Cricetulus griseus: one gene and its partners. The protein of the gene in region 1 interacts with the protein of each later gene in a pairwise test. Links are inferred from orthologs where the notes say so. Each region holds a gene or a part of one and is shown on either strand. Other genes may lie near its edges. The genes, in order: Vti1b, Trim59 and Ptpn5.

The links.
Region 2: the proteins of Vti1b (region 1) and Trim59 interact in binary tests that used the Homo sapiens proteins (3 or more experiments, as listed by UniProt). The two-hybrid records come from large-scale screens. The link is inferred for Cricetulus griseus from reciprocal best matches to the Homo sapiens genes VTI1B and TRIM59.
Region 3: the proteins of Vti1b (region 1) and Ptpn5 interact in binary tests that used the Homo sapiens proteins (3 or more experiments, as listed by UniProt). The two-hybrid records come from large-scale screens. The link is inferred for Cricetulus griseus from reciprocal best matches to the Homo sapiens genes VTI1B and PTPN5.

What each region holds. Positions count from the first base shown.
Region 1 is NC_048598.1:124,459,660-124,463,868, forward strand, and holds the start of Vti1b (vesicle transport through interaction with t-SNAREs homolog 1B), read left to right. Parts: upstream 1-1,355; 5' UTR 1,356-1,667; coding exon 1,668-1,782; intron 1,783-4,209. UniProt on the Homo sapiens protein: V-SNARE that mediates vesicle transport pathways through interactions with t-SNAREs on the target membrane. These interactions are proposed to mediate aspects of the specificity of vesicle trafficking and to promote fusion of the lipid bilayers.
Region 2 is NW_023276806.1:84,098,992-84,102,640, forward strand, and holds part of Trim59 (tripartite motif-containing protein 59), read left to right. Parts: intron 1-3,020; 5' UTR 3,021-3,023; coding exon 3,024-3,649. UniProt on the Homo sapiens protein: E3 ubiquitin ligase involved in different processes such as development and immune response. Serves as a negative regulator for innate immune signaling pathways by suppressing RLR-induced activation of IRF3/7 and NF-kappa-B via interaction with adapter ECSIT.
Region 3 is NC_048596.1:145,242,872-145,246,520, reverse strand, and holds part of Ptpn5 (tyrosine-protein phosphatase non-receptor type 5), read left to right. Parts: intron 1-237; coding exon 238-345; intron 346-594; coding exon 595-678; intron 679-1,090; coding exon 1,091-1,332; intron 1,333-2,347; coding exon 2,348-2,537; intron 2,538-3,649. UniProt on the Homo sapiens protein: May regulate the activity of several effector molecules involved in synaptic plasticity and neuronal cell survival, including MAPKs, Src family kinases and NMDA receptors.

The DNA of each region.
Region 1 (4,209 bases):
CCTTCTTACCTTTTATGCCACTGTCCAAAAGTCACTTTCCAGGGCTCTTATTCATGCCAGGCTCTCCTTATTTGTACCTCTTTATTTCTGTGACAGAGAAATATAAGGCTTGGAGCTGATGAGACAGAACCGTTATTAGGATCATACAACTCTTACATGCATGACAGACAGCTCACAACCACCTGCAACTCCAGCTCCAGGTGTTCCAAAACCCTCTCTGGATTCCACAGCCAGTACACTTGCACTCATACATGTATACACACACTTAAATATAATTATTTTAATTTAATTTTTGAGGCAGGATTTCTATGTATAGCCCTGCTGTCCTGGAACTCTGTAGACCAGGCTGGCCTTGAACTCAGTGATCCATCAGCCTCTGCCTCCCAAGTGCTGGGGTTAAAAGCATGTGACACCACTCCTGGCCCATCTTTTAACTTTGTAAGAAAAAGAAATATAAGACTTTGCACCACCACTAACAACCCTAGACTTTGTCATCTCTGCACAATGCATGTTACATTTTATTTATTGAGTTCAATGGTCAATGAGTTCAAACTAGTAAAACCCAGGGCTTCAAAGACAAAAAAAAAAAAAAAAAAAAACCAACACCAAAACATTCCCCCAGGAACCTGCTCCCCTACACACCTTGGAAAATGGAATGTGGGACTTTGATTAAATCTATCTATCTATCTATCTATCTATCTATCTATCTATCTATCTATCTCCATGTTTAAATACTGAGCTCTCTCACCCAAACTTTTGAAGAGCAGGCTTTTTGTGCAAACCATACACAGAAAGGACTTCATGATTGTTGACATATTTCACTTAACGGCAGATTAGATGTGGTAAGACCGGTTTGCCTTCCACACCAGATCATAAATTACCCAAGGGCAGAGACAAAATCTATTTTGTTCAACATATGACTCGGTCTTTGCATAATGTCTATGCTTAAACCTGTTGTGAGAACCCAGGGCAGCCTAATGAACTACACTGGCGAAGCCCCTAGAAGCCCAGTTTCCTCTTCTGAAAGCATGTGACACTTAAGCCCCCCCAATATCAGTGTTTTACCATTAGAGGGCAGGCAGGACTCTGCTCACCTATCTATCAAGGGTTAAGAGTAAACATTTAATCGAATCAGAGAGCTGAACGAACTGCGATGACAGATAGGTTGATGGAGGCTCCTATGCTCTCCCAGTCTCTGCGCAACAGGGCTGACCTTCCACGCCCCTGCACAGCCGCGACCCATCTGCCCAACTCCCTCACTTAACTACAATTCCCAGCATGCACCGCAGGCCCGGTGTGCCCGGATGAGGCGGCCGAGGCGCCCGTCCCGCGGGCCCCCTGGGGCCCTTCGCCTTGGTACCTCCCCAGCCCGGCTGGCAGTCTCCAGCTCGGAGACAGCCGATCGTCCCCCGCGCGGCGCCGCGCCCCTGGAGTAGCCGGGAGTCGTCCTCGCCCCCGGCTTTCCGTCAGGCTTTGGCGCCCGGCGCCCGCGCGGCGACAGCAAGGGGAGGGCGTCCGGCTCGGAGGACCCCGGAAGCACCTGGTTCCGGCTGGCCCGGGTACGGCGGTCGCGGTGATGGCTTCGGGACCCGGCAGCTGAGCGCTGAAGGGTGAGTGGGCCCTGCGCCCGGAATCTCAGAGGCCGACGCTCACGTGCAGCCTGCGCCATGGCCACCTCCGCCGCCTCCTCCGAGCATTTCGAGAAGCTGCACGAGATCTTCCGCGGCCTTCTTGAAGACCTACGAGGAGTTCCCGAGCGGCTGCTGGGGACCGCGGGGACAGGTGAGGCGGGGGCGGGACCAGACCCGAACACCACCCGCCCGGTGCTGTCCTCCCAGATGCGGACCCCTGGCTCCCCCGGCACGCCCCCTGCTGCTGTCCGGCCCGCGAAGCCCAGGGTCTGCTGCAGCCACTTGGCTTGCAATGAGATAGACAGACACCAGGGTGTCGTCTCTTAGGGATCCTCTAGTGTCCTACTCCCCCCAACCCCAATTCTTAGTTATCTGCCTCTCCCAGGAGCAAAGGAGGTTCTTAAATCTGCGGTCCTGTATTTCATTAAAACGACTTCTAAAAAAAATCGTAAGATTGGAGGTTGGGGATGTAGGAGTTTGGTAGTTTGATAGGCAATGAAAAATTTTAATTAATTCTAACCATAGCGTTTAGCTTATAGGTGAGACAGAGGCCGGAAGTGAGGGAAGGCAAACAGTTACATTGAAGAGGAACTTGAATGTGTCACATAATACTGTTGGATGTCTTGGGGGAAATCCGTAAGGATCATAAGCAGTTGGGTAATGTGGATTTCATTTTAGAAGCAAGGCTGCGGTAGCTGGATAGAGGATGTGAGAATGGATATGAGGCTGTGTTAGGAGCTTCCATGACAGTTGACTAGGTAAGCATGGGACTCTGGAGAGTGAGCATTAAATCCAACAGGTGGTTCCGAGGCAGACTTATGAGACTGGTGGATAAGAATAGGAAGAAAGATTGAAGAGTTTCCGTGTTTTCTCACGTGATCAGTTGAGTGGATGAACTTAAATATGAGGAGCAGATTGGTTTGAGTTATAGATGTGACTGGCTACCTGTAGAGTGTATTCTGTATCTAGCCTGACAAAATATTTTTCTGCCATTAAAACCATCATCAAGAATTCATTAATAAAGTAGATATTGTAAAAACCAAGAATTTGCCAGTGGCAAATTTTCTTTTCTTTCTTTCTTTTTTTTTTCTTTTTTCTTTTTCTTTTTTTTTGTTTTTTGTTTTGTTTTGTTTTTTGTTTTTTGAGACAGGGTTTCTCTGTATTGCTTTGGAGCCTGTCCTGGAACTCTCTTTGTAGACCAGGCTGGCCTTGAACTCCCAGAGATCCGCCAGCCTCTGCCTCCCAAGTGCTGGGATTAAAGGCGTGTTCCACCAACACCCAGCCCCAGAGGCAAACACTTTTAATCCTAGCACCTGGCATGTAGAAGCAGGAGAATCTGTGTGAGTTAAAGGCCAGCTTGATCTACCTAGCAGACTAGGTTTTATATAGTAAGACATTGGGGGGGCGGGGCAGACTGGCTTCAGACTGGCTTAGTAGCTATGTGACCTTGCAAGTTTTTTAACCAAACTAGCTTCCTCTACAAAATAAAATAGCATCTAACTTCATGGGGTTTTTTGTGAGGAGTGAATGAGTTAATATATGTAAATCCCTTAAAAATACTATCTGGCAAGAGCTACTAGCTATTATTCATATTTGGGAATTTACTGTTTTTTTTTGTTTAATTTAAAATATTAGCTCTTTATGTAGCTAGCTATTCTTAGGATGCTCTGTTTTGTTTGTTTGGTTTTGGTTTTCTTGTTTCTCTGTGGAGCCCTGGCTGACCTGGAACTCTCTCTGTAGACCAGGCTGGCCTCGGACTCATAAGTACATCTGCATCTGCCTCCTGAGTTCTGGGATTAAAGGGGTGCTCCATTACAGACCCAGATTCAGAACACTTACTTCCTAATGTACTCAACACTTTACATATTTATGATACAGTATATTGCTTGGCTTTCTGTGACTAGAAAAGGAGTTTGGAAATGTGCTCTACAAATCAGCACCATCAACACCACCTGGGAACTTGTTAGACACACATGCTTACCCCCCACCCCAACCTCCACCCCCACCCCAGCAAACAGAATCACTAACTGTTGTGACAAGCAGTCTGTCTTAACTGCTCTCAGAAGGATTTCTGGGGCTGGCTTAAGTTTGAGAACCAATGATCTAGAAATGAAATAATATTTTGTTCTGTGTAGTGTGTGTAATAAACTCCCAGGCATAGTGCCCAGCACGCCTGTATCTGAGTGTGGTAGTGCACACTTAGGAGGCAGAGGCAGCAATGGGTCTCTCTGACTTTGAGGCCAGCCTGGGGTTACACAGTTGAGACCCTTTCTCAAAACATAAAATGAACAACATATATATTTGTTAAATTATTGTAAAAATCATTTTTGGTTGTTAAAGGTACTATGAGTTCTTAGAAGAAAATAGCTGAGTAGGCATAATAATGTGTTTTTTTCATATTTTCATTACTCTTCAAATCGATATATATATACCTGTTAAAACAACCAAAGCAAAAGAGATACTTATTTCCCCAAAGTGTAGTCTGTATTCTCTCTTGGCCCTTGAAGGATAACTGTCACGGTGTGTCCTAATTTAGGAAGTTTTTGTGGCAATGACAGTCTTGCCATGTATGGTAATC
Region 2 (3,649 bases), on another chromosome or scaffold:
AGGGCTTCTTTGTAGCCCTGGCTGTATTGGAACTCACTCTGTAGACCAGGCTGGCCTCAAACTTCCTGATTCTGCATCATGAGTGCTGCGATTAAAGGCAGGTGCCACCACACCTAGCTTTGGCTTTTTTTAATAAGAAAAATTTTAGTTCTTTTTATCCCCCCTCCCAGTATACTTTTGTCAGTCTGGCAAATCAGTAAGAAACTTCTTACAACTTAAAAGTTGAGCTATAGGGTCATTAAATGGATTCTCAGAGATTCTCACTTCCCCCTGTCCCCAAAATTGAGTGTTTTATATTTGTACAAATATGTATGTTGCCTTCTCCTCCCAGGACATGTGTGGGGGGTCTCCTTCTAACTTCTTGGAGACTTTTTTTTTTTTTCCCACCTCTGCCTCCGTTTTGCTGTCTGCATGCCTGGTTTATTGATATGTACTGTGTCCAGCTTTCCATGGATTCTGGGGATTCAAACTCAGGTCCTCAAGCTTGCATTAGTAAATGGTTTTCCATTGAGCCATGTCCAAACCCCTCCCTAGCTTCCTGTGAGACACACGAAATAGAACTTTGAAGATTTAATAATACTAGAGCTATTTAATGTGTAAGCAAACTAGTCCTAAAATCTAATTTTCTTGAAGTTTTGCTACCTGCATACCAAATAGCTAATACTAAATCTGGCTTGAATGTATGTTCATTGCTTAAATTTTATTCCTTTCAAATAACTATTCTGTATTTTCCTTCATTGTACATTTTGAGGTCATTGAAGTACTCTGAGAAACAGATTTGTTTTTCTTCGGTAATTTTTGTATGACTTCACAGCTCTCTGTGGGTGTGGGATAAAGTTGTAAAGGCCTTTTCTAAATGTGCATTCACTTGTGTTTCTTTTCAATGACTGTCGCCTTCTGTACTGTTGTTCAGTCATTTGTTTCCTGGGATCCTGTGCAGGTCAAGACTTAGTTTCTACATGCCACAACTTGACTCCCTTTGGATCCTGAATATTGTCAGACAATACATGAGATATTTTCTGATGGCCTCTTCATTGCTTCTAAGAGATTTTATTATTTGAAAGCCCAGATCACTGTTAACACTGCTATTGTTTAGATACTATTTCTGACCTTACAGGAGGCTTATATTCTGATACATAATATAAATGTTACATTCTTATGAAGTCTTGTTCAGAGCTTGAAGTAAAATGTCTCTTTAATTAAATTCATGAAGACACTTAATCTGGGTAATGGCAGTCTCAGATGGTTAGAGCTAAGGAAACAGATTGGGTGGGGCTTTAAAGAATAATTAGTTACTTTTAGTTGCTATTGCTACAAACTTTTTGGTGACGCTGGAGATGCAAGATACCACACTCTACTAAATTACTTCCGTAGCCCCATTTTTTATGAACTTTTAATCTGGAACTAGTTTATGTAGGTTTTGGTAGTTTTTTTTTTTTTTTTTTTTTTTTTTGAGACAGGGTTTCTCTGGCTTTGGAGGCTGTTCTGGAACTAGCTCTTGAAGGCCAGGCTATCTTGAACTCACAGAGATCCACCTGCCTCTGCCTCCCGAGTGCTGGGATTAAAGGCAGGGATTAAAGGCATGCACCACCACCGCCCGGCCATTTTGGCAACTTTTATATTCTTTATAAAGAACACCTAGGATTGTTTAAGGTTCTTTTAAACAGTGAGTTTTGCCTGCCAAAGGATAGGCAGTTTTGAGGTAGGCTGCAGAACTGCCACCTTTTGTTGGAAATATTAATAGCTGATGGAGGACCATCATCTGTCAGTGAATCTCTGAACAATTGATGGGTTCATTTTTCTGCTTTAGGGATATTCTTGAGCTACATTTTTAAAAAGGGCAAGTGTGTGCATGAGTGTTGTGAGGCAGGTATGTACGGGTACTGGGAAAGTGTTGGATACCCTGGAGCTAGTTTTATATGTGGTTGTGAGCTTCCTTGTGTCCTGGGAACTGAATTCTGGTCCTCTGGAAGAACAAGTTTGCAGTCATAACCACAGAACTATCTCTTGAGCCTCTCTAACATTGTAAGTGAAGGAAATAGATGAGTGGTATCCTTTATTTTCTTTGCCATTTGTTTTAGATTCTCACTTTTCAATCAGTACTTATCACCACAATCAGCTCCTGTTTTTCAAATCATTTTTATTGCTAATGCTAATTATAATTAACTTTTTTCCCTTTCAAATCTTCAAGTTAAAATTACCGCTTTAGAAAACCTCAGTATAGGTTTGGATCCCGGGTTGTATAACTCATTGTTAAGTATTTGCCTAACATGTAGAGGCCTTCAGTTTGATTATTAGTATCACACACATACACACAAAAAAAAGGCAAAAGGAAAAGAGAGGAAGAAATAGGAATTGCTATATGCTGATCTTACATTAATAGTAATAATTTGTAGAGAATTCAAATGTAAGAATCATTGAAGCTGGGGTGATGCCTCATACCTGCAACTCTAGCATTTATCTCAGCAAAAAACCAAAACGATCACAAACAGGTACTTTTTCCCCCTCACTTTAAATGGAATGTATAGTTTTGTTTATTCCTTAAGTTTTTTGTTTTTTGAGACAGGGTTTCTCTGTGTAGCTTTGGAGCCTGTCCTGGCACTTGCTCTATAGACCAGGCTGGCCTCAAACTCACAGAGATCCACTTGCTTCTGCTTCCCCAGTGCTGGAATTAAAGGTGTGTACCACCAGTGTACTTTTTACTTTGGTATCTTAGAAAGTAATGACTTCCATATAATAATAGTAATTATTAAGTAGACTTCAACTGAAGTGTAGCCTTCATTACATAAAACCAGATTGACTGATTTGAAGCATTTTATTACAAATTATTTGAGATTTTGTTGAAAGGAATAAACTCTTAAGGTGATCCACTTACTTACTAAGAAAGCGTCATCTAAAAAGAAATCTCTGCTTTTCTTTTAAATGGCAAATACAGTATTTAATTCGAAGATCATGCCTAAAATCTTAACATAGTATGTGCCAGATATATGCTTAAATTTTTTTTTTTTTTGTCTTGACAGGAAATGCACAATTTTGAGGAGGAGTTAACGTGTCCCATTTGTTACAGTATTTTTGAAGATCCTCGAGTACTACCATGCTCTCATACATTTTGTAGAAATTGTTTGGAAAATGTTCTTCAGGCATCTGGTAACTTTTATATATGGAGACCTTTGCGAATTCCACTCAAGTGCCCTAACTGCAGAAGTATTATTGAAATTGCTTCAACTGGTATAGAATCCTTACCTGTAAATTTTGCATTAAGAGCAATTATTGAAAAGTACCAGCAAGAAGACCACCCAGATGTTGTCACCTGCCCTGAACATTACAGGCAACCATTAAATGTTTATTGTCTACTAGATAAAAAATTAGTTTGTGGCCATTGTCTTACTATAGGCCAACATCATGGTCATCCTATAGATGACCTTCAAAGTGCCTATTTGAAAGAAAAAGATACACCTCAGAAGTTGTTTAAACAGTTAACGGACACACATTGGACAGATATCACTCGTCTTATTGAAAAGCTTGAAGAACAGAAATGTCATTCTGAGAAAATGCTTCAAGGTGATAAGGAGGTTGTTCTCCAGTACTTTAAGGAGCTTACTGATGCATTAGAACAGAAGAAAAAAAAATTTTTGGCAGCTCTCTGTGA
Region 3 (3,649 bases), on another chromosome or scaffold:
TGGGAGCTTCACTTCTATGTATGCCTGTGGGGTCTCCTGTGGGAAGGGCTCTGTCTCAGCCACCTGTGATTAGTCTTTCTCCCAAAGAATGCTGGGTGGCCCTTCCCTCTACTGCCCAGTCTGAGAGGCTCACGAGTTTCCTGGGACCCAGGTTGGGGCTGAAGGTGAGCTTTGCAGGGCAATATAGGGGCAACGGGCTGCAGCTATACGCTCAGTCTGCTCCCCTGACTGCCCCAGCTCGCCTGTGGGGTGCTCTGGCTCAGTGGCCATGGCCACTCCTGGCTGCAGAACACCACAGACCTCATCTCCTCCTCGCTCACACTGTTGAACCATCTGGGACCTGTGGTGAGTAAACTCTGGGGACCCCTAGAACAATGGGGGTGGAGTGGGATAACCTGGGACTTCCCATCCCTCCCTCACTACTCCTGGCTGGGGCATCTCTGAGTTCAAGAGATGTTTCCAAGAACCCAAAGGCCATCTGTGTGCATCCCATCCAGACCCAGGATGGGTTTTCTTATTACTTGTGAAATAGATAAGAATATTGTCCTCCCCCAACCCCTCAGGACACTGACCAGTTTGTCTGATGTTCCCCAGGCCTGGCTGGGTTCTGGTATCTGGGGAATCCCAAGTCTGCTGCTCGTCTCTGTAACTGTGGGCCTGGTCATCATCACCACCCTGGTAAAGTGCCTCCTTGTCTTCAGCCACAGGCAGTTGTTCCCTCTCTAGAAAGCCCCATTTCCCATTAGATCCATCTGATCCCCAGGCAGGCTAACCTGGGTTCTGAATAGGGTGAAGATAGCCTTGTCGCCTTCAGCAGCATGCCTACTTAAAGCAAGAGGCTCCTTTCTAGAAGTGATAGGCCTGAAAGAAAGGGCTGAGGCAGAAAGAACCTCTAGTACCTACCCAGAGGGATTAAACCCACTAAAAACTGGGGACAGAGAAGGGAGAGTGGGGATAGAACCTGACATCTAGGACCCAGGAGAATGTGGTTGCTGTAGACCTTATAGCATCAGACAGCTCAATCCCAAGGGGTACCTCCATGAATCCAGCAGGCAGCGAGCATGATCCCAGGCTGTATGCTCCCAACCAGGTGTGGCACCTCCTCAAGGCACCCCCAGAGCCACCGGTACCACTGCCCCCAGAGGACAGGCGCCAATCAGTGAGCCGCCAGCCCTCCTTCACCTATTCGGAGTGGATGGAGGAGAAGGTAGAGGATGACTTCCTGGACCTGGACGCGGTGCCTGAGACACCTGTGTTTGACTGTGTGATGGACATCAAGCCTGAGACTGATCCCACCTCGTTGACTGTCAAGTCCATGGGTCTGCAGGAGAGGTGGGAGGGGTAGACGAGGGGTGGGCTGGGGATCACAAATTCTCAGCTCCCATTAGAAGGGAGCTCCTGGTTTAGAGCACAAGGTTATCCTCATCACTTAGTGTGTGTAGACACATGCTTTTCCAGTAATGCACATTGACCAGGGTACTTCAAGATAAATGCCCAAGAGTGCACACCCATACTCTCCTTGGCTTGAGGAAGTCAGAGTTGGTTTCCTTATATAGGGCTTGCTGGGGCCTTCAATTTAACTGTGTTCCTTGTGACTTGACAAAGGGACAATAGGTACCATTTCCCAAAACCTAGAGTGCCCCATAGGATTCCATGAGCAAGTTTTGGGAGGGAGTGACAATCTGAGTTTAGGGCTGGGTAAGCAAGCTTACACACGGTTTGGAGTACACAGAAGATGTCATAGAATGTACTGGATAAGGACTCAGAAAACCTAGACAATAGTTTTTGACTCTGCCACTTCATCATAGTGAAATCCTGGACAATGCTAGAGCCCTCCTGAAACTCAGTGTCCCTTTCTACACAACGAGGATCCCCCCTATCCGAAGGTTTGAGGCACTGAGCATGATGGAGTTGGCCCAGTATAGATATCCTTGCTGCGAATGGCTGTCTTTGAGCTCCTTTCTTCCCTGGATGCAGAGGGCCCTGGCCTCTGCTAGCTGAGATGCACTCGATGCCATGACAACCTCATTCTAGAACTGTGATTCTGGGGTCTGAAGCTGTGCTCTTGGGCTTGAGGCTCACCTTAGCATATGTCTCCCCAGTGGGCCTCCTTCCACAACAGAGTCCAGAGGAGGGCCATTAGGGATTGCTTAAGGGTTGAGCTTTTGGAACTGGGGCCCTCACCCCACTGTAAGAAGGAGTGGACAGAGGTGTAGACAGAACCATGTGCTCCTTAGGATAGGTTCCTGTCACATCCCTCTTCCTGGAGCCCACCCTGCTCTCCTCTGACCATCTTCTTGCTTCCTTTCATGTCTAAGGCTAGTATCTTCTTCTATGACCCTTGCAGGAGGGGCTCCAATGTCTCCTTGACCCTGGACATGTGTACCCCTGGCTGCAATGAGGAGGGTTTCGGCTACCTGGTGTCCCCACGAGAGGAGTCAGCCCACGAGTACCTGCTCAGTGCCTCCCGTGTCCTCCGAGCAGAGGAGCTGCATGAAAAGGCCCTGGACCCCTTCTTGCTGCAGGCAGAATTCTTTGTGAGTCCCTTGAAGTGACCATCCACCTTTGCATGCATAATAGTCCACCACCCGGCCAGTCAGTACCCCAGAGTATACAAACCCATACATGGAATAGACTAGTATCCCCTTGTCGTCTCTCCCAGCATCCTGGAAATGCTCTTAATCTCTGAGACCTGATGTCCTCATCTGGAAATTCAGACAAATGGCAGGGTCTTCGCAGGAGTTAAGGGTGACGATACCATATACTAGGCAGACAGTAGTACTTCTGGATCTGATGGAAGGACTGTGCTCTGGAATCCGAAGAAAGCAACCTCCTCCTGGTGGTGCAGTTCAGGGGTAGAACATGTGCCTAGTAGCATACACAAAGCTTGGTCAACCCTCAAGGAGAAAAGAAAGCCTCTCCTATCTTCCCGCCCTCCTCTGCCTGATAACATCAAAGATGTTTGTCCCCATGCTCCTGTCCCCACCCCCCTTTTCTCCCTTGGGTTTCAAGCTCAGGCCCTAAATCCTTTCCCAACCTCAAGACAGGTTTCTCTGTGTATAGTCCTGGCTGTCCTGGAACTCGCCCTGTAGACCAGGCTGGCCTCAAACTCATAGAAATCTGCCTGCCTCTGCCTCCCAGGTGCTGGGGTTTAGGTGTGTGCTACCACTGCCAGGCCTGCACCCCTAGTTAATAAAAGAACATCAATGGGGGAAAGGAGGAACTGAAGCCCAACAGCCCACTTTCCCATCAAACTCACAAGCCAGGTAGCTAATCCACTGTGCCTCTTTGGCTCAGTGCTCCAAGATCTCCAGAGCTTGTCTCCACCTGCAAAAAACCTAAAGTGGTGGGCACCAGCTTTCTTCTCCAGCCTTGAGCTCCACCCAAATACCAGCAGGCCAAGTGACCAGTACCTTCCTCACATCATTCCCACCTCAGTGAGCCCATAAATCCTTCCTCCATCACCCCAGCTCCAGCTCTCAGCTCCCACCATCATCCTCTCCCTTTGAAAACAGTCCTCTGTGTCCCTTCCTGTTCAGTAGATATTGTAGATTTTGCCAGGGAGAAGAAACAAGTCTGCTCACCAACTCCATGGTCAGTTCTGCAATTGTGTATTGTGGGGATTTTTTTAATTATTATTTCTTTTGAT